4 linked regions of the Macaca mulatta genome follow. The protein of the gene in region 4 purifies or fractionates together with the protein of the main gene of each other region. This does not show direct contact. Links are inferred from orthologs where the notes say so. Each region holds a gene or a part of one and is shown on either strand. Other genes may lie near its edges.

Evidence for each region. Proteins that work in one complex are often made in the same cells at the same time.
Region 1: the proteins of CPSF3 (region 4) and SYMPK fractionate together in Homo sapiens (co-fractionation; 6 studies listed by BioGRID and IntAct, with this or other methods). This does not show direct contact. The link is inferred for Macaca mulatta from reciprocal best matches to the Homo sapiens genes CPSF3 and SYMPK.
Region 2: the proteins of CPSF3 (region 4) and CSTF2 purify together in Homo sapiens (affinity purification with mass spectrometry; 3 studies listed by BioGRID and IntAct, with this or other methods). This does not show direct contact. The link is inferred for Macaca mulatta from reciprocal best matches to the Homo sapiens genes CPSF3 and CSTF2.
Region 3: the proteins of CPSF3 (region 4) and UBE3D purify together in Homo sapiens (affinity purification with mass spectrometry; 4 studies listed by BioGRID and IntAct, counting the BioPlex papers as one, with this or other methods). This does not show direct contact. The link is inferred for Macaca mulatta from reciprocal best matches to the Homo sapiens genes CPSF3 and UBE3D.

The regions. Positions count from the first base shown.
Region 1 is NC_133424.1:58,376,585-58,380,084, forward strand, and holds part of SYMPK (symplekin), read right to left. Parts: coding exon 3,462-3,500; intron 3,264-3,461; coding exon 3,150-3,263; intron 2,185-3,149; coding exon 2,037-2,184; intron 1,139-2,036; coding exon 978-1,138; intron 1-977. UniProt on the Homo sapiens protein: Scaffold protein that functions as a component of a multimolecular complex involved in histone mRNA 3'-end processing. Specific component of the tight junction (TJ) plaque, but might not be an exclusively junctional component. May have a house-keeping rule.
Region 2 is NC_133426.1:107,706,910-107,710,409, reverse strand, and holds part of CSTF2 (cleavage stimulation factor subunit 2), read right to left. Parts: coding exon 3,455-3,500; intron 2,998-3,454; coding exon 2,878-2,997; intron 2,764-2,877; coding exon 2,626-2,763; intron 235-2,625; coding exon 111-234; intron 1-110. UniProt on the Homo sapiens protein: One of the multiple factors required for polyadenylation and 3'-end cleavage of mammalian pre-mRNAs. This subunit is directly involved in the binding to pre-mRNAs.
Region 3 is NC_133409.1:102,792,413-102,795,912, forward strand, and holds part of UBE3D (E3 ubiquitin-protein ligase E3D), read left to right. Parts: intron 1-386; coding exon 387-618; intron 619-3,500. UniProt on the Homo sapiens protein: E3 ubiquitin-protein ligase which accepts ubiquitin from specific E2 ubiquitin-conjugating enzymes, and transfers it to substrates, generally promoting their degradation by the proteasome.
Region 4 is NC_133418.1:115,401,212-115,405,431, reverse strand, and holds the start of CPSF3 (cleavage and polyadenylation specificity factor subunit 3), read left to right. Parts: upstream 1-1,420; 5' UTR 1,421-1,552; coding exon 1,553-1,602; intron 1,603-4,220. UniProt on the Homo sapiens protein: Component of the cleavage and polyadenylation specificity factor (CPSF) complex that plays a key role in pre-mRNA 3'-end formation, recognizing the AAUAAA signal sequence and interacting with poly(A) polymerase and other factors to bring about cleavage and poly(A) addition.

The sequences.
Region 1 (3,500 bases), on a different chromosome or scaffold from region 4:
CCACCCGCTTCGTGACTTGGTTTCTCATGCGCGGCTGGCTTGGCTGTGAGCCCAGACCAGGCTCCACCTGCTGCTGCTTCCTGAGCCTGCCCCATGGTGAACGCCAAACACAGGAGCTGGGGCCAGGCTCCACCTTCGCCCAGGAACGTTTACGCTCCTGACTAAAACCGAATGTCTCTGCCCTCGGGAAGCTCACAGCCCCACAGGATCACTTTTCTGCAAAGTGAGATCACTTTTCCACAGTTGGCTCACCTTGGGAATGGGGCTAAAAATGTTTCCTCCTGACTACAAGCCTGTTATCCCCATTTTCCAGGTAAGGGCCCCACTGAACCCAAATGGCAGATAGGTGGGGATTAACATACAGTTCTCTCTCCCATTTATCATGAAAATGTTCGGTAATCCAAAAATGTCAGGGGCAGAAAGAAAAAAAGTGGTTTCAAACCCTGCTGCAAACTGAAGTGCAGACCTTCTCATCTCAGGTGACAGTCTGTCACTGAGCTGCTTCTCCTGTGGGCAGCCCTGTGGCTCCAGAGAGAGAGGTGGGAAGGACTTATGTCTATGTAATGACAGCTAAAGAGTCCCATTAGCAACACCGGGAAGGTCAGCTCATAAACAGTGACAGTGACACAGAGGTTTATGTGCCTGAGTTCATGGACTCCTTGCATCAGCGTGGAGGGACTGGAATGTCTTCCCTAGTTTTACTGACAGGCCCGAGGTCGCAGTGAGAAAGTGACAAGTGAACACGAACCCAGCTCTATCCAGCTCTAGGCTCCTAACTGCTGAGCCACTCTGACGTTTCCTCAGGAACTGATGAGTGACATGCGGACCGCCCGCAAGCTACACAGCCTGGGTCGACCCGGGGTGACCACCCTTTGGGCTTGGCACACTCTGAGGTGGAGCAGGTTGGGGAAGAGCTGGAGCTGGGGACACAGCCCTGCCTGTGGGTGGGCAGGGCCTGGTGGGCTCAGGGCCCTCACCGGCTGCTCGATGACCCTCAGCACCGTCCGCTTGATGTCGGCGATGGCTTCAGTGTACACGGCCGCCAGCTCGTGGATCAGCTTGTGGTTCTGAGGCAGGAGAGCCAGGTAGAGGTAGAGACACTGCTTCACTGTCTCCTCCGTCCAGGGCGCTGCCACCTCTGACAGGGCAGGAGCGGCGTCGGATTGGCCCACACTCTTCTCCAACCCCCTCGGACCCTCAGTAACTGTCCCTTCTTGGGCAGTGGAGCCAGGGAGGGCAGAGAAGGGAGCCGGGGCTGGGGAGCTAATTGTTCTAGGGCAGGGAAATGGGGTGGGACCAGGACTTCCTACCTCCAGCCTTCCCCGACTGCCAACACACAAGGCAATTAGAAGGATCTTTGAGTGCGATCCTGACCCTGTCCCTCTCCACCTCCAAGCCCAGCCACGCCCTGTAGCCTCAGAATAAACCCCCGGCTCGCTGCCTCCCAGTGGCTGCCAGGTGTTGCATGGGGTGGCCCCGGCCTGCTGCTGCCCTGCTGCCCTCCATGGTGGTCACACACCCCTTCTAACAGTCCCGAAGGCCCTGGTCTCTTTGCCTTTGCATCCGCCCTCCTTTCTGCCTGGTCCACAGCACCTGCTCAGACTCTGGGCCTCCCGAAGGCTGTGCGTCTCCTGGGAATGCTTCCTGGCACCTGGGCCAGGCCTCCCGTGCTGCCCTATCATGGCCCCAAGACTTCCCATTTAAGGGTCCATTTACTCGGGGTCTGAGTCTACCTGTCTGTAATCCTGGGGGACCCAAGGCTCTGTTGAGGGAACCTGCCTGAGATGACCCTGCCTGGTCCTTCCTGGGGCCCCACCGATGGCTGGCTCTCCTCGTCCGCCAGATCTCTCTCCCTGACCCCCTAGGCTAGGTCAGATGCCCCTACCCTGACTCCCACAGCCCCCAGGTGGCTGTCCCAGCCCTGCCCGTTCCCGTCACTGGTGTCTGGGTGGCTTCCCCACTCAGCCCCTCTGCTCGCAGCGACCAGAGCGCGGACACAGCAGCACTCAATATGCATCTGATGACCTGCGCCCAACCTGTGTCTTTGTCAGCTCCAAACAGCACAGACGGTGGGTTGGGGTGCACCAGGAGCTGCAGGTAGTTGAGGGCAAATTTCTCCACATACTCCCGCAGCTGCTCCTTCTCATACATGCGTTTGATGAACAGCAGGGCCTGGGAGCGCACCTGAGGAGGAAGATGGAGAAGGGCAGGGTCAGGGAAGAGGGAAGAGGAAGAACAGCTATTCCTGCGAGTGTGGCAACACTCATGTGAAAACAGACCCGAGCCTGAGAAGGGGCAGCCCAGCTGCTACCAGGGCCCAGAGCTGGTCCCCAGTGCAGGAGGCAGATATCCCGGCCAGGGCCGGACCCACAGCACCACCTCGCTGCCTGCCTCTCCAGCCCATCTGCCCGTCTTTCCAGCCCATCTGCCCGTCACTGCTCCTTGCCTTGCTCACCAAGCTCCAAGCAGAGGGAGATCTCAGTTCCTTAAAAGTGCCACTCCCTGCCAAGTCTCCCTAGAACGCCTACTGCCAGCTAAACACTGTTTCACTCAGATATTATCTGCCGGGACCTGTGAGGGTAGGGGCTGGTCCTGGGCACTCTGATCCCAGCAGCAGCACAGGGCCAGGGCCAGGGCCAGGGCCAGGGCCAGGGCCAGGGGTGTGCAATGAAGGTCTGCTGAATGAATAAACACGCTGCCAGGCAGGGGCTGGGGCAAAAGGCTGCAGGCAAGGATGGGTCAAGGGCGCTCTCAACCACAGCATGTGCACATTTGTCCCCTCGTCTAGAGCACACCCAGCTATTCATTTTCCAGGTCTCGGCCCACATCTCCCCTTCTTGAAGGAAGCTTTCCTTGAAACACCTCCCCTGCCCACCCCACCACCAGATGGTCGGCCCCTCCCTCCCCAGGGCTCCGCAGCTGCACACTGCTCTGCTCAGCTGCTGAGCATGCTGGGTCCTCACTGCTGGCTGAGGCCACACTGGCTCCCCTGCTGGGCAATGCCCTCAGGCCCCAGCACAGGACTGGGCTGCACGAGGAGCCTGTGCTGGCCACCACAGGCGGACTAAGAACGAGTTGGTTCCTCAGGATACAGGTGGCCTCTGCAAACTGCAGGCTGAGGGCAGCCAGGAAGTGGAGCAGGGGATCACCTTGTCCTTCTCATGGGAGCTGAGGTCGAGAAGGACATGCAGGTACTGGAACTGGCGGGACGGGCGCTTGAAGATCAGGTCTCGAAGCGTGGACATGCCCAGGTAGGTGCGACTCTGCAGCAAGAGGAAAGGGACCTGAGCTCAGCCCACCTGACTGTGCCTTTGGGCTCTCTCTCCTGACTGCCTCTGACAAAACGGCCCGGTCCCTCATGAAACCCCTTGCCACAAGGTTTAGGCTGTGTGCCCTTCAGAATCCTCAGGGGAGAGCCCTGTCCCTTGGCCCAGGCTGCAGTGACCAGGGCCTGTCCTCACCTCATCCTCGCAGTACTTGCGGATCACCTCCAGGGCACT
Region 2 (3,500 bases), on a different chromosome or scaffold from region 4:
GTGGATTAATTTTACCTAAGGATCCCATTATCATATTTGGCTGCACTGCAGCAGTGCCTATGACAAAACTTTAGCGAGTACTGAAATGGCGAAGACTAAATGAAACTTACCTCCAGGAGCTAAGGAACCAGGGCCAGGTCCTGTGACAGCGGTTGGTATTTGCCCTGGTGCTGGAACTCCACCCTGCATAGAAGCTTGCATCAGAGGAGGTGCGCCATTGACATGCATTCCACCCTGACCAAGAAAAAAAAAAAACAGAGTATGTACATGCCTTGGTGGAGACTCAATACTAAGTCTATGACCTTAAAAGTCCTCTTCAAATGAACAGCCCCAAATATACTACCAAACATCCTTTTTGTATGGCATGTCTTATGCAGCATTAGATTTGTCACACACTTTAAACTCCACAGAAGCAAGTTGCAATACACATCATGAGCCTGGTTATATGGAACACGGTTAAGATGGAACATATTCTCAATGTAGAGATTGACAAGTCTTATCTGTGTGGCAAGGCAGCACATAGCACCTATTGTTAACTTCATGACTGGGGCCTGGCAATAAGAGTTTAAAAAAAAAAAAAAAAAAAGCCCTAAACCCAAGAAAGAAAAAAGGAGACTGGGCCTCTTTTTAAAAAAACACAACAACTGCTAGTAGTCCACATTTTTAAAATTAAATGTTCTTCTTTTTTTTTTTTAAATTTAAATTTAACCAATCTTTTCTCACTCCTGTCCTTAGACATAATTCTGGTTCTGGGGGAATGTGAATTTTTTTTTTTTAATGCTACATTAAAACTCTTTGAGAAAAAGAGAATGTCAACTTTTCATCTGTGCATTCCCCAAAAAACTGCGTAGTCCCTTGAAAAAGAAACAGCTCAATAAATAAAGAATAAAAGCCAAGTTATATAAAAAAAAATTACATACACGTTTAAGGAACACAAAACTCTACAACAGAAAAGGAAGAGCTGTATAGGAAGGTAGTTAAGAGAAAACTGGGTATGAGGTCAGATAAAACCAGGTTCAGAACTATATCTGCCACTTACAATTGTGTCCATTTTTGGACTAGCTAACCTCTCTTTTCTATCTCTGAAAACATTTATTTATTTAGAGCAGGAGCTGGCAAATGATGACCCATGGGTCAAATCGGGCTCACTGCCTGGTTTTGTAAACAAACTTTTATTGGAACACAACCACACACACTTGTTCACATATTGCCTATGGCTGATTTCATACTACCATGGCAGAGTAGCTGTGGCAGATCCTGTGGCTTGCAAAGCCAAAAATATTTACTATCTGATCATTTACAGAAAAATGTTTGCTGGCTCCTGCCCTATACCTCTGCCAATCTGAGAGATGAAAAATGGTAGCTTATTGTAGTTTCTATTTACATTATCTTTTAACATTACATGTATTAATAATTTATTACATTATCTTATTTTGAGGTTGAATACATTTTTATATATTTACTTTATATTTCTACTTTTGTGAAATATTTATGTCCATTTCCCATTTTTCTACTGGGTTATTGGAAATTTTCTTACTAATTTATAGGAGGCCTTTTAAAATGTATTATGAAAAATTACAGATATACAAATCATATAGGAAATAAAATAGCCACGCAGCTTGGGAAATAAACAATAAAATACACCAATGGCCTGTATGGTCTTCCCCAATTGCATCCTGTGCTCTCTTCTCCTTAGATGACCGCTAAGACATCTTCCTAATGTTTTAAAATTTTATAGGAATCATTACATACTCAATATATTATTTTGAAACTCACTCCACATATTTTGGGGATTTATGCAGAAACATATATCCTACATTTCGGGAATGCATCCACATTCACTTAGTTTCATGTCCGTATGTTATTGTTTTGGAGTTATTTGTGTTGATATTATGTATCCTAGTTCATCTTAACTGCTGTATGGAATTATGTTTTTCAGAGTCATTCATGTTGATACGTGTAGTTCATTTAACTGTTGTACAGTATTTCACTGGATGAATGTACCACACATTTTCTCCATTCTTCCATTGATGTACATTTAGGACATTTCCAATTTTTCACTCTAAGGCAATAAACATTTCTGTGCATGACTATGGGCTCTTTATTAGTCTGTTGTCCATCACATGTGTGGCAAATACTTTTTCTCAATTTGTCATGTCTTTGATACTTATTTTTTTCTTTATATAGAAATTTTTTAGTTTTCAAATGTATCAATTTTTTATGGCTTTAGGGTTTTGTGTCATGCTTTGAAAGCAAGCTTTACTTTTTTCATTGGTAAGAATGGAGATAATAAGAGTGCCAACCTCATACAATTGCTTTGAGGATTAAATGAGATAATGCATATGGAATAACAAAGTGCCAACCACAGTGCCAGGCATGCACATACACACAAAGTTAGCTTATAAGAAAAGGGCATACAGGAAGGATCTCTTTGTTTTACAAACTTGGAATCGAATCTATATTCATTCAGATGTCATGTGCTCTGCAACCTGGAAATTGCTTTTATGCCTGGAAATTGAAATTATCATCTCTGGTTCCTGACCATTCTTCTTTCAATATATTCTCCTAAAAAGAAAATGACATTCTAAGACAGATAAAAAAAAATGTTAAGGGATAAAGCCCTACCAAAGACTGGGCCTGAGGGGCCTGAGGATTCTGCTGGTTCATTGACACATTGGATCCTGACCCAGGCCCAGCACCATGGACTGGCTGAGGGTTGCCTGCAATCAGCGTTGGGATATTTGTCTGGCGATGCAGAATTTTCTAAAAAGTGAAAAGACAAACCTATAAGCTGTCTGTTTAACAAAGCAATCAGGTAGTTCCTATCCCACTCAAGGTTTACCCGACCATTTCCATAAAAGAACCAGAAGCACTCACCAGGGCAATTTCCGGATCCACAATTCTCATCACTACCTGTGCTTGCAGCAAAGCATAAGCCAGTTGAGGGTTCTGAAGCAACATGTTCCGTGCCTCCTGGGGACTATTCTGGACACAGAGCTGAGAAGATAAGCAGATTCAGGTTTAATACTTATGACTTAGAAACTGATAGTGATTTAGAGTCATTCCCCTCTGAGAAATGTAATATTCAAGAGGCTCTTTATCATTAGTTTTTGCATGGCACAAAAAAACCTTGGTCATGGCAGGCAAGAGAAGAAAGAGGCATTTCAAATACTGTGATACTATCATTTAGGAAAAAAGCCAAATTTTAATATCTACATCTGACATCTATGGGCCACAAAAATCCAGCTGGATTGTTTGGATAGCTGTGTTTGTGTACAAAAATAGAAAGCTCTTTGTACAAAATGTAAAATATACTGTGTACATACAGAATATTGAAGGTGCAAGAAATGGTGGTCTACAGACAATTTCTATTTGAGCTCAGGGAACTGATTCAATTAACTCCTTGAAAACCTGATGTGGTTTGCTTTATTCATAACCTAATGCCTCCTCCCACCTTCATTTGTTTCATCAGCTCAAACATCTGCTCTGGTGGAAGGCTG
Region 3 (3,500 bases), on a different chromosome or scaffold from region 4:
GTTTTGATTATGGAATAGAATATTGTGGACTAATTAGGATTCATCTAAATAAAACAACAAAAGCAAGATATAGTATGTTTAGTCACCATTCTCAAACTTTGTGATATGTACAGATATATCTTTTGAACGGATGGCAAAGAAATACACTGTCATGTTTAGTTACTTATATCTGGGTAGTGAGATAAAAGGATGATTTTTCCTTGTTTATACCTCCTTGCATTTTCAAAATTAGTTATAGTGAGTATATATTACTTTTATAATTGAGGAAAAATTAGCATTGCAAGCCTTGTGGTTAATGAGTTTCTTTCATCTTTTATGCTCATTTAATTAAGAGAATGTTAGTTCCATTTTGTTCTGTTAAAAATGATTTTTCCTCTTTCCACTAGGAAGCTCCTCAGGGTGCTCCCACTGCCGAGTGAGAACTGGGAAGCTCTAGTTGGAGAATGGTGTTGTCATCCTGACCCCTTTGCTAATAAACCACTTCATCCGCAAGAGAATGACTGTTTTATTGGAGACTCTTTCTTCTTGGTGAATTTAAGAACCAGTTTGTGGCAGCCAAGACCTGAACTTTCCCCAGTGGAGATGTGCTGTGTTTCTTCTGACAACCATTGTAAATTGGTAAAATATCATTTCAAACTAAATGCTAATTTAGAGGTTGTCTTAGATACTGGTTTCTTCAATCTTTTCCTAATTAAGGCCTTGTTACATGGACTGCTGTAAAGGCCAAAATTCATTATTTTCAACTGTCATCACTATCTCTGCTTTATCAAAACAGGAAGAGCATATGGCTTTAAACTAAAACAGCCACAGGGACCTGGAAGAATAAGGAGAGGAAGACCTCTGCAGTCACAGAATTGGGAGTGCTACCATTTTACAAACAAAATGCCCTCCTTTCTTGTTCTTAGGACAATATTGCATAATTTGTGTGCATTTTATCCTAAGTAGTCTGATTTAAGTTAAAATGTTCTGTTGCTCCAGGATATCTACTATACTATTAGGCTGAGGTATTTTACTATTTCTGCCCACAGTCTAGACTTCTGCTGAAGTCATAAATGCAGATGTCATCAAGTAAAAAGAGGAATGGAGGAGCCCAGAAATGGAGATAAAGCTTGTGTTGCAGGGTCTGAATTGGTGCTTGACAGTGTGAGGTCAGGTAGTTCTTGCTGCGTAGGTTACTTTGGGAAGAAGGCAATTTTCTCTCACTGCAGAGAACACGTTTTACTTTATTTTAAAAGAAAATCAATGTCATTGGCTTAGCCCTGTGAGAAATCATTCCACTGATGGCCAGTCAGTACAGATGTTATTTAAAAAGTAAAGAAAATCATTGCCAGAGAAGCATTTTAACATCTGATTATTGGTGGGAACGAAAACATTGTATTTTAAATTTCATTCAGAACTCATTTAATTTTTGTAATCAGAACTGAAACTGAGCGACTGCAGGAAATATGCAGTAGATGGGCAGCTCTTAGGTTGTAAATTAGTTTATAGAACTATTCTGAGGGAGACGAAGGAAATTCGTCGAATGTGGACGTTAAGTTGTTGTCAAAGAAAATTATTTAAGTGCCTCATCTTACACTGTAAACAGAAATCCCTTAATCTAAATATGGTTCACTTTGGTGAAATGTGGTACTTTACATTTTATATTTTAAAAGGTAAATAGTAAGTTAATATACATTTATGTTATATTTAATATGATTAATTAAATTTGTATTTTAATCTAAATATATACTAATACTTTATGTGTTTTAAATTTCGTCTTTATGATTAAGCTATACATTTTAAAAATATTTGGAAGTTGTGAGCAGAAAAGTAGTAAAGATTAAATGAGAGAAGCCATGTTTCCCTTTTTAAATAAACTCAGCACTCTGTGCTGAAATATATTCTTCACATTTACATCTTTATCAGTTATGTGATGCAATTTACAAGAATTTCTCTTCATAGTAAACAGCTATCTTATCCATTAAAGAAAGACCCATCGTATTTTTAGACATTACAGTTTTAGTATCAAGGAGACTGTGGGAAATTCTGTACTATCATGACAAGCTGCTGTTGAAAAGATTTTCTTCAAGTTAGCCTAGATGAAAGTCCCTCTTTAATTGTATATTGTAGCAGTCCAAAGAGTGTGCCTGTGACCAAAATAGAAGCGTAAATTTGGAGGGACTGGGTAAACAGTGCTCTCAAGGCTCCTGTGGGAACAAGGCTGTTCTGTGCTATTGAAAACCTATTTCTCCTATCACCCAGTCTAGCCATCTAGCAGGGTTTTGAAATGCCACATAGTAACAAAGCATCCTAATGGTATCTCTTGGGAAACATTTTTTTGGTGAGACAATATCAAGGGTCCTTAGAAATTGAGACAACACAAAGGGAAACTAAAAGGGAGGACACAAGGCTAATCCACCTCTCTGAGCAGTCCTGCCCTGTGTCAGATATATTGACTTAATTAGTCCACAACAATGTCTGTCTTTGAGGTTTGCTCTGTAGAGTTCCCACACTGTTAGGCTGCTTCATTACACAACTTACCTTATTATTTCCTTCAAGGATAGGTGAAGAAAAATGCATTACAAACAGAGATTCTCTTTAAACAAAATTTATGTGTTATATGTTTAATTAAAAAGATCTGCTTTTAAAAACAGCACAAACAAACGTGAAGCCCAACACTGTTTCTTTTCTTCCATAGCTTTTTAGAGTTTATAGTACTTTATTTGAGCCTTTGTCATTGCAGCAGTATCTACTTTTTTTAAAAAAGATACCTGCTGGAGATTTCCCTATTCATGTATTCATTTATCATCTCTCTTGTTCTATTTTGTGCCCACCCACATAATACAAATTTCGCATCTTGGGCCGGGCATGGTAGCTTATGCCTGTAATCCCAGCACTTTGCGAGGCTGAGGCGGGTGGATCACAAGGTCAGGAGATCGAGACCATCCTGGCCAACATGGTAAAACCCCATCTCTACTAAACTACAAAAAAATTAGCGAGGCATGGTGGCGGGGGCCTGTAGTCCCAGCTACTCAGGAGGCTGAGGCAGGAGAATCTCTTGAACCCAAGAGGCAGAGGTTGCAGTGAGCCAAGATTACACCGCTGCACTCCAGCCTGGTGACAGAGCGAGACACCATCTCAAAAAAAAAAAAAAAAATTGTATCTTATAATAATGGGATGATAAAGATGGCATTTCTTCCTTTTATAAGATTCAAAATATTATTCAAGACTTCACTGTATTTTTTAAAGAACAAATAAAATTGATCTTTGATTACATTAATATTACTGCTAGCAAGGATGACTAACATCTTTATCTTTTTTTCTTTCTTGGAGTACTTAGTAATAATTAGTTGATTTTGGTAATTTGTTTTGTTAAATCCATAAGTGGGTCTTTTTTGTTTTCTTAGAAAAATGTGTTGTCAAACTCTGTAAGTATTCACAATTATAAAAAGAATAGTATTGTGAATTTCAATATGGATTCATCATACTAGTATGCTTCATCTGCTCTTTTTTTTCCTGAA
Region 4 (4,220 bases):
AAACATAAATCTAATGCCACTAGCCTGCTGAAAATCTTTCACTGGTTCTCCAAAGTCAGAGATCAAAGTCAACGTTCTTCAGCAGGACACGCCAGGTCCTCCAGGACGCAGCTCCTAACCACCTTTCCACTTCCATCCTCCACAACCCGGGCACAGTTCATTGATCTCAGCAAGGCAAAGCTGCTCGTGGTTCTCAGGGCGATGCTCCAGTCGCCCCTGCTTTGCAGCGCCCGGGACACCCTTCACCTTTCAGGCACTTGGCTACCTCTTACCTTTCAAGGTCCCTTTCAGGCTGCAGGCCTTCCTGGGATCTCAAGGCTGGGCTCAGGGACCCACAGCTTCAGTGTACCCCTGATCACAGCGCCACGATCTGCTGTGGTCTCTGATCTCACTCTCCCAGCTGCACGCTGGTCAAAGGCGGAGCTCAGGGACTCCTCTCTGCACAGCCAGGGCGCCTGGCAGGGGACGCGCTTACTGAAGCCGAGAACTTTCTGGGGTGTCTGTGACACCCCAACAGCAATTCCCAAGTACCAAACGCCTACCACGTGCCATGCACGGTGCTAGGTGCACAGATCCCTCTCACCCTCACTGACCAGCAAGCCTGAAGGATAACAGCCCCTTTCAAACGAGGATGCCAAAGCGCCCGAAGAGTCAGTGACCTGCCCAGGGTCACCAGGGTAAGGACGGATGGGGCCAAGCTCAGGGCCTAGGGAGAGCCGGCTCCAAAGTTCCTCCCAGACGCCAGCCTGCTTGGCACCTGTCTGTCACCGTGATGGAGCACCTTCCACCTACTGGGTGCGGAGGATGTGACAGCGAAGGGGACAGACAACCCCGACCCTGAGAGGCGGGAGGCGGCCGAAACGAGGCAGAGGAAGAGGCAGGGAAACGGCCCGCGCTGCCCGCCTTGCCTCCTCTCCCGGCTGGCAGCGGCTCCGGAAGCTACAGTCCACAACGCCCACGCCCGACCCGCGGTTCCAGGCGCCTCCACCCGCGCCCCGGGAGCGCGGACCCGCAGAGAACGCAGCCGGAGCCCAGGCATCCCTCCCCCGCCCTCCCTGCGGCCCCACCCATCCTTCCCGGCCGTCCGCGCCGCTCTCGGGGCCGTGTTCCCGTCAGGCCTCCGCGAGCTCGGCCCCGAGTGGGACGAGGGCTGGGCGCTCACCTCGCAGCCGCGGGCCCATCCTCCGGTTGCGGGCTTCGGGGTCCGCGTGGGAGCGCCGCGGCCTCCGGCACCCAGGCAGCTACTCCCGTTCCCGCTCCAGCGCCGGCTTTTCCAACGCTCCTGCCCACGTCCGCCGGGCCCCGCCTCCGAGACTAAGCGCAGGCGCAGTCCTGACGTCCCGCCCCCGGTTCCAGGACCCCGAGTGGTGGGAAGCTTCGCAAGGGACGTCCCCCAACCGGAAGTCGAGGGGAGGAGTCTAGTGCCGCGGGCTCCGGAGTGACGGAAGTTGTGCTCTTGGTGGATGGGGTTCTTCTTTCTTTATTTACCTTCCAATTTAGGAAGACCCCGGCGACCTGTTCCCCGCCCCCGCTTCGCCCTCACACTTTCGGGATGTCTGCGATTCCTGCTGAGGAGAGCGACCAGCTGCTGATCCGACCTCTGTAAGAGACCAGCGAGAGAGGGAATGAGGCCCAGGGCTGTGAGGGGTGCGAGGGATAACCGGAGACTTTGGCCTCCTCCGTCGCCCGCGCTCCCACCGTCCCCGGCAGCCTGCCTTTGGTCCGCGCTTGCGGGCCAGGCTTCTCAGGCTCGAGGGGTTGGAGGACCACTGATTGGAAGGGGCCTGCTAGAGTGAACGGGATTTTGCTTCTTTATCAGTTTCAGGGGAGGGTATGTTGGAGTCGGAAAAAAAAAAGTTTTCCGGGGCCACCGGCCGCTTTTCGTACACGCTAAAAAGCGTTTTCACTTAGCACAAGCACGGATCTCTGCGCGTCAGGGCAAGCCGTGAGAGAGCCGGTGACGCTTATGATCGACAGGATGAGAGGAGGACCTGAATGAGGCTACAGCGGTGCAGGGAAGAATTAAGTCTGTTTCCTAACACCAGGGCTTCACATGTGCCAGAAGTTAGAAAATATTAGGGACGTGCCGTGAGTTTCGATCTTCTCAGCTCAGGTCCTAGTAGAATAAGGAAGGTGTAAAGCTGGAGAGGAGAAAGTGCAGAGGTGTTAGGGACAAAAACTCAGCCCTCGACTGTCCGTAAGGAGAGTGGCCTTTCAGTGGACATGGTCCTCATCAGTCGGGAATGCTGCTGAAGGGGAGATGCAAGATGCTGAAGGGGAGATGTAGGAACTTGGATTCCTACAGATGAGCATTTCGAACCCACAACATGTTTATTGTTAGATGTTAGTTGGCACAACATGAATATACGCTTTCCAAAAGGTAGAAAGTATCTCCTTTACACATTCGTTCAGTAAGGCTTCATTGAGCACCTGCTTGGGACATAGTCCGTTTCCTTCTGCTTAGATCACACCTGTCATGTCTTCCTGTGATGAGCAAACACTGTCGCTTGATCTGCTAACTCAATTCTTTAGCAAGTGTCAAGTGTCAAGCACCACACGTGGGGATACAGATGCAAAGGAGGGCCCAGTTAATTGCTCTCGCCCTTATGGAGAGAATTACAGTGCACAGTGGGAAGTATTGGAGAGATACTTTGGTATAATAGGAGACCATTACTTTGAAGTCAGACCTGAAGTACGTTATCTACTTGACCACTTAGTAGGACAACAACCTCACTAAACCTGTTTTCTCATGTGGAAATGAGATAAAACTTGAAGAGTAAAGATCGCGGTAGGTGCTTTGTAAATAATAGCTAATCTAAGAGGGCAGGTAGGCATTGCACTGAGCACTGTGAAAGTATGGAAAAGGGATTTCTGACAGATTGAGGAAAAAAGGATACCTCATGCATCCTGAAAAATGTGATGCTTGAGCTGAGTCCTCAAGAATGAGTAGGAGTTGAAGACTGGGGGGCCCAGGGTGTTCTAGGCAGTGGAAGTGGCACATGTGAAAGTGAGAGTGGCCACAACTTGTGGCCAGATTCCTCATGGCTGTAGCTAAAGAGTTGAGTTAGCAGATGAAGCGACAGGCTGTTGAGGTCCAGTTTAGGAAGCACCTCATATACATAGGAGTTTGGACCTTTATCAGATAGTCAATTACAGGGAGCCAGCAAAGGCTGTTAAGCAAGCATGGATATTGTGAGGAATTATGTTTTAGGAAAATCACTCCTGGCAGCAGTGTAGCAGCTGAATAAAAGGATGGATTGAGTAGAGCAGGTTCAGTAAGATATCATTGAAAGATTCCAAGTCTAGGTGATCAGAGCCTGTAGTGAGTGACATGAGTGTGAGAGAGTACGCAAATGAGATCTTCAGGATTTTGTGGCTGATCAGCTGTATCTGGAAGGGTGGTTGTGGGGAGGGAAGGCAGGGCAGAGAGGATGTTATGATGACTCGGATTCCTAAGTTTGGCAGTTGGGAAAGGGTAGTGTTCTTCACTCTAGGAGTGTAGGAAGTGGGGCAACTCTGGAGTAAATTTGGGAGTTCGGTTGTTTCATAACAGCTTTATTGAGATACAGTTTACATACTATACAACTCACAATTTATATACCATACAACTCTCAGTCGTTCTTAACATAGAGTTATACAACCATCACCCCTCTCTCATTCCAGAACATTTTCATCACTCCCAAAAGATACCTTGTATTCATTAGCAGTCATGGACAATCCCCACTACCTCTCCAGACCTTAGCAACCACTAATCTACTTCTCTACAGATTTGCCTGTTGTGGACATTTCACAGAAGTGCGATCATACAATACATAGTCTTTTGTCTCTGGCATCTTTCATTTAGCGTAATCTTTCCAAGGTTCAAAATTGAGGAGTTTTATTCATTCAATAAGTATTTTTTGTGATTTACGTAGCAATACAGCAGTGAATAAGGTGGACAATGCCTCTGTTCTTAGGAAGCTTTCATTTAGTAGCCTGAAGCAAGACATAAGTGGATACAATAACTTCATGTAGTTGTAAGTATTAAGATAACATGATGCTGGGTTGCGGCTTGCTGTGAAGGGCAAATTAGAGGAGGTAGTCAAGAGAAAGCATCTGAGAAGGTGACATTGGAACTGAGACCCAAATGATACAAAGGAGCCAACCACATCAATATCTGAAGACAAAGCATTTCAGGAAGAAAGCAGAGCAAGTAGGGGGCATGTGGTGGAAACCAGTTT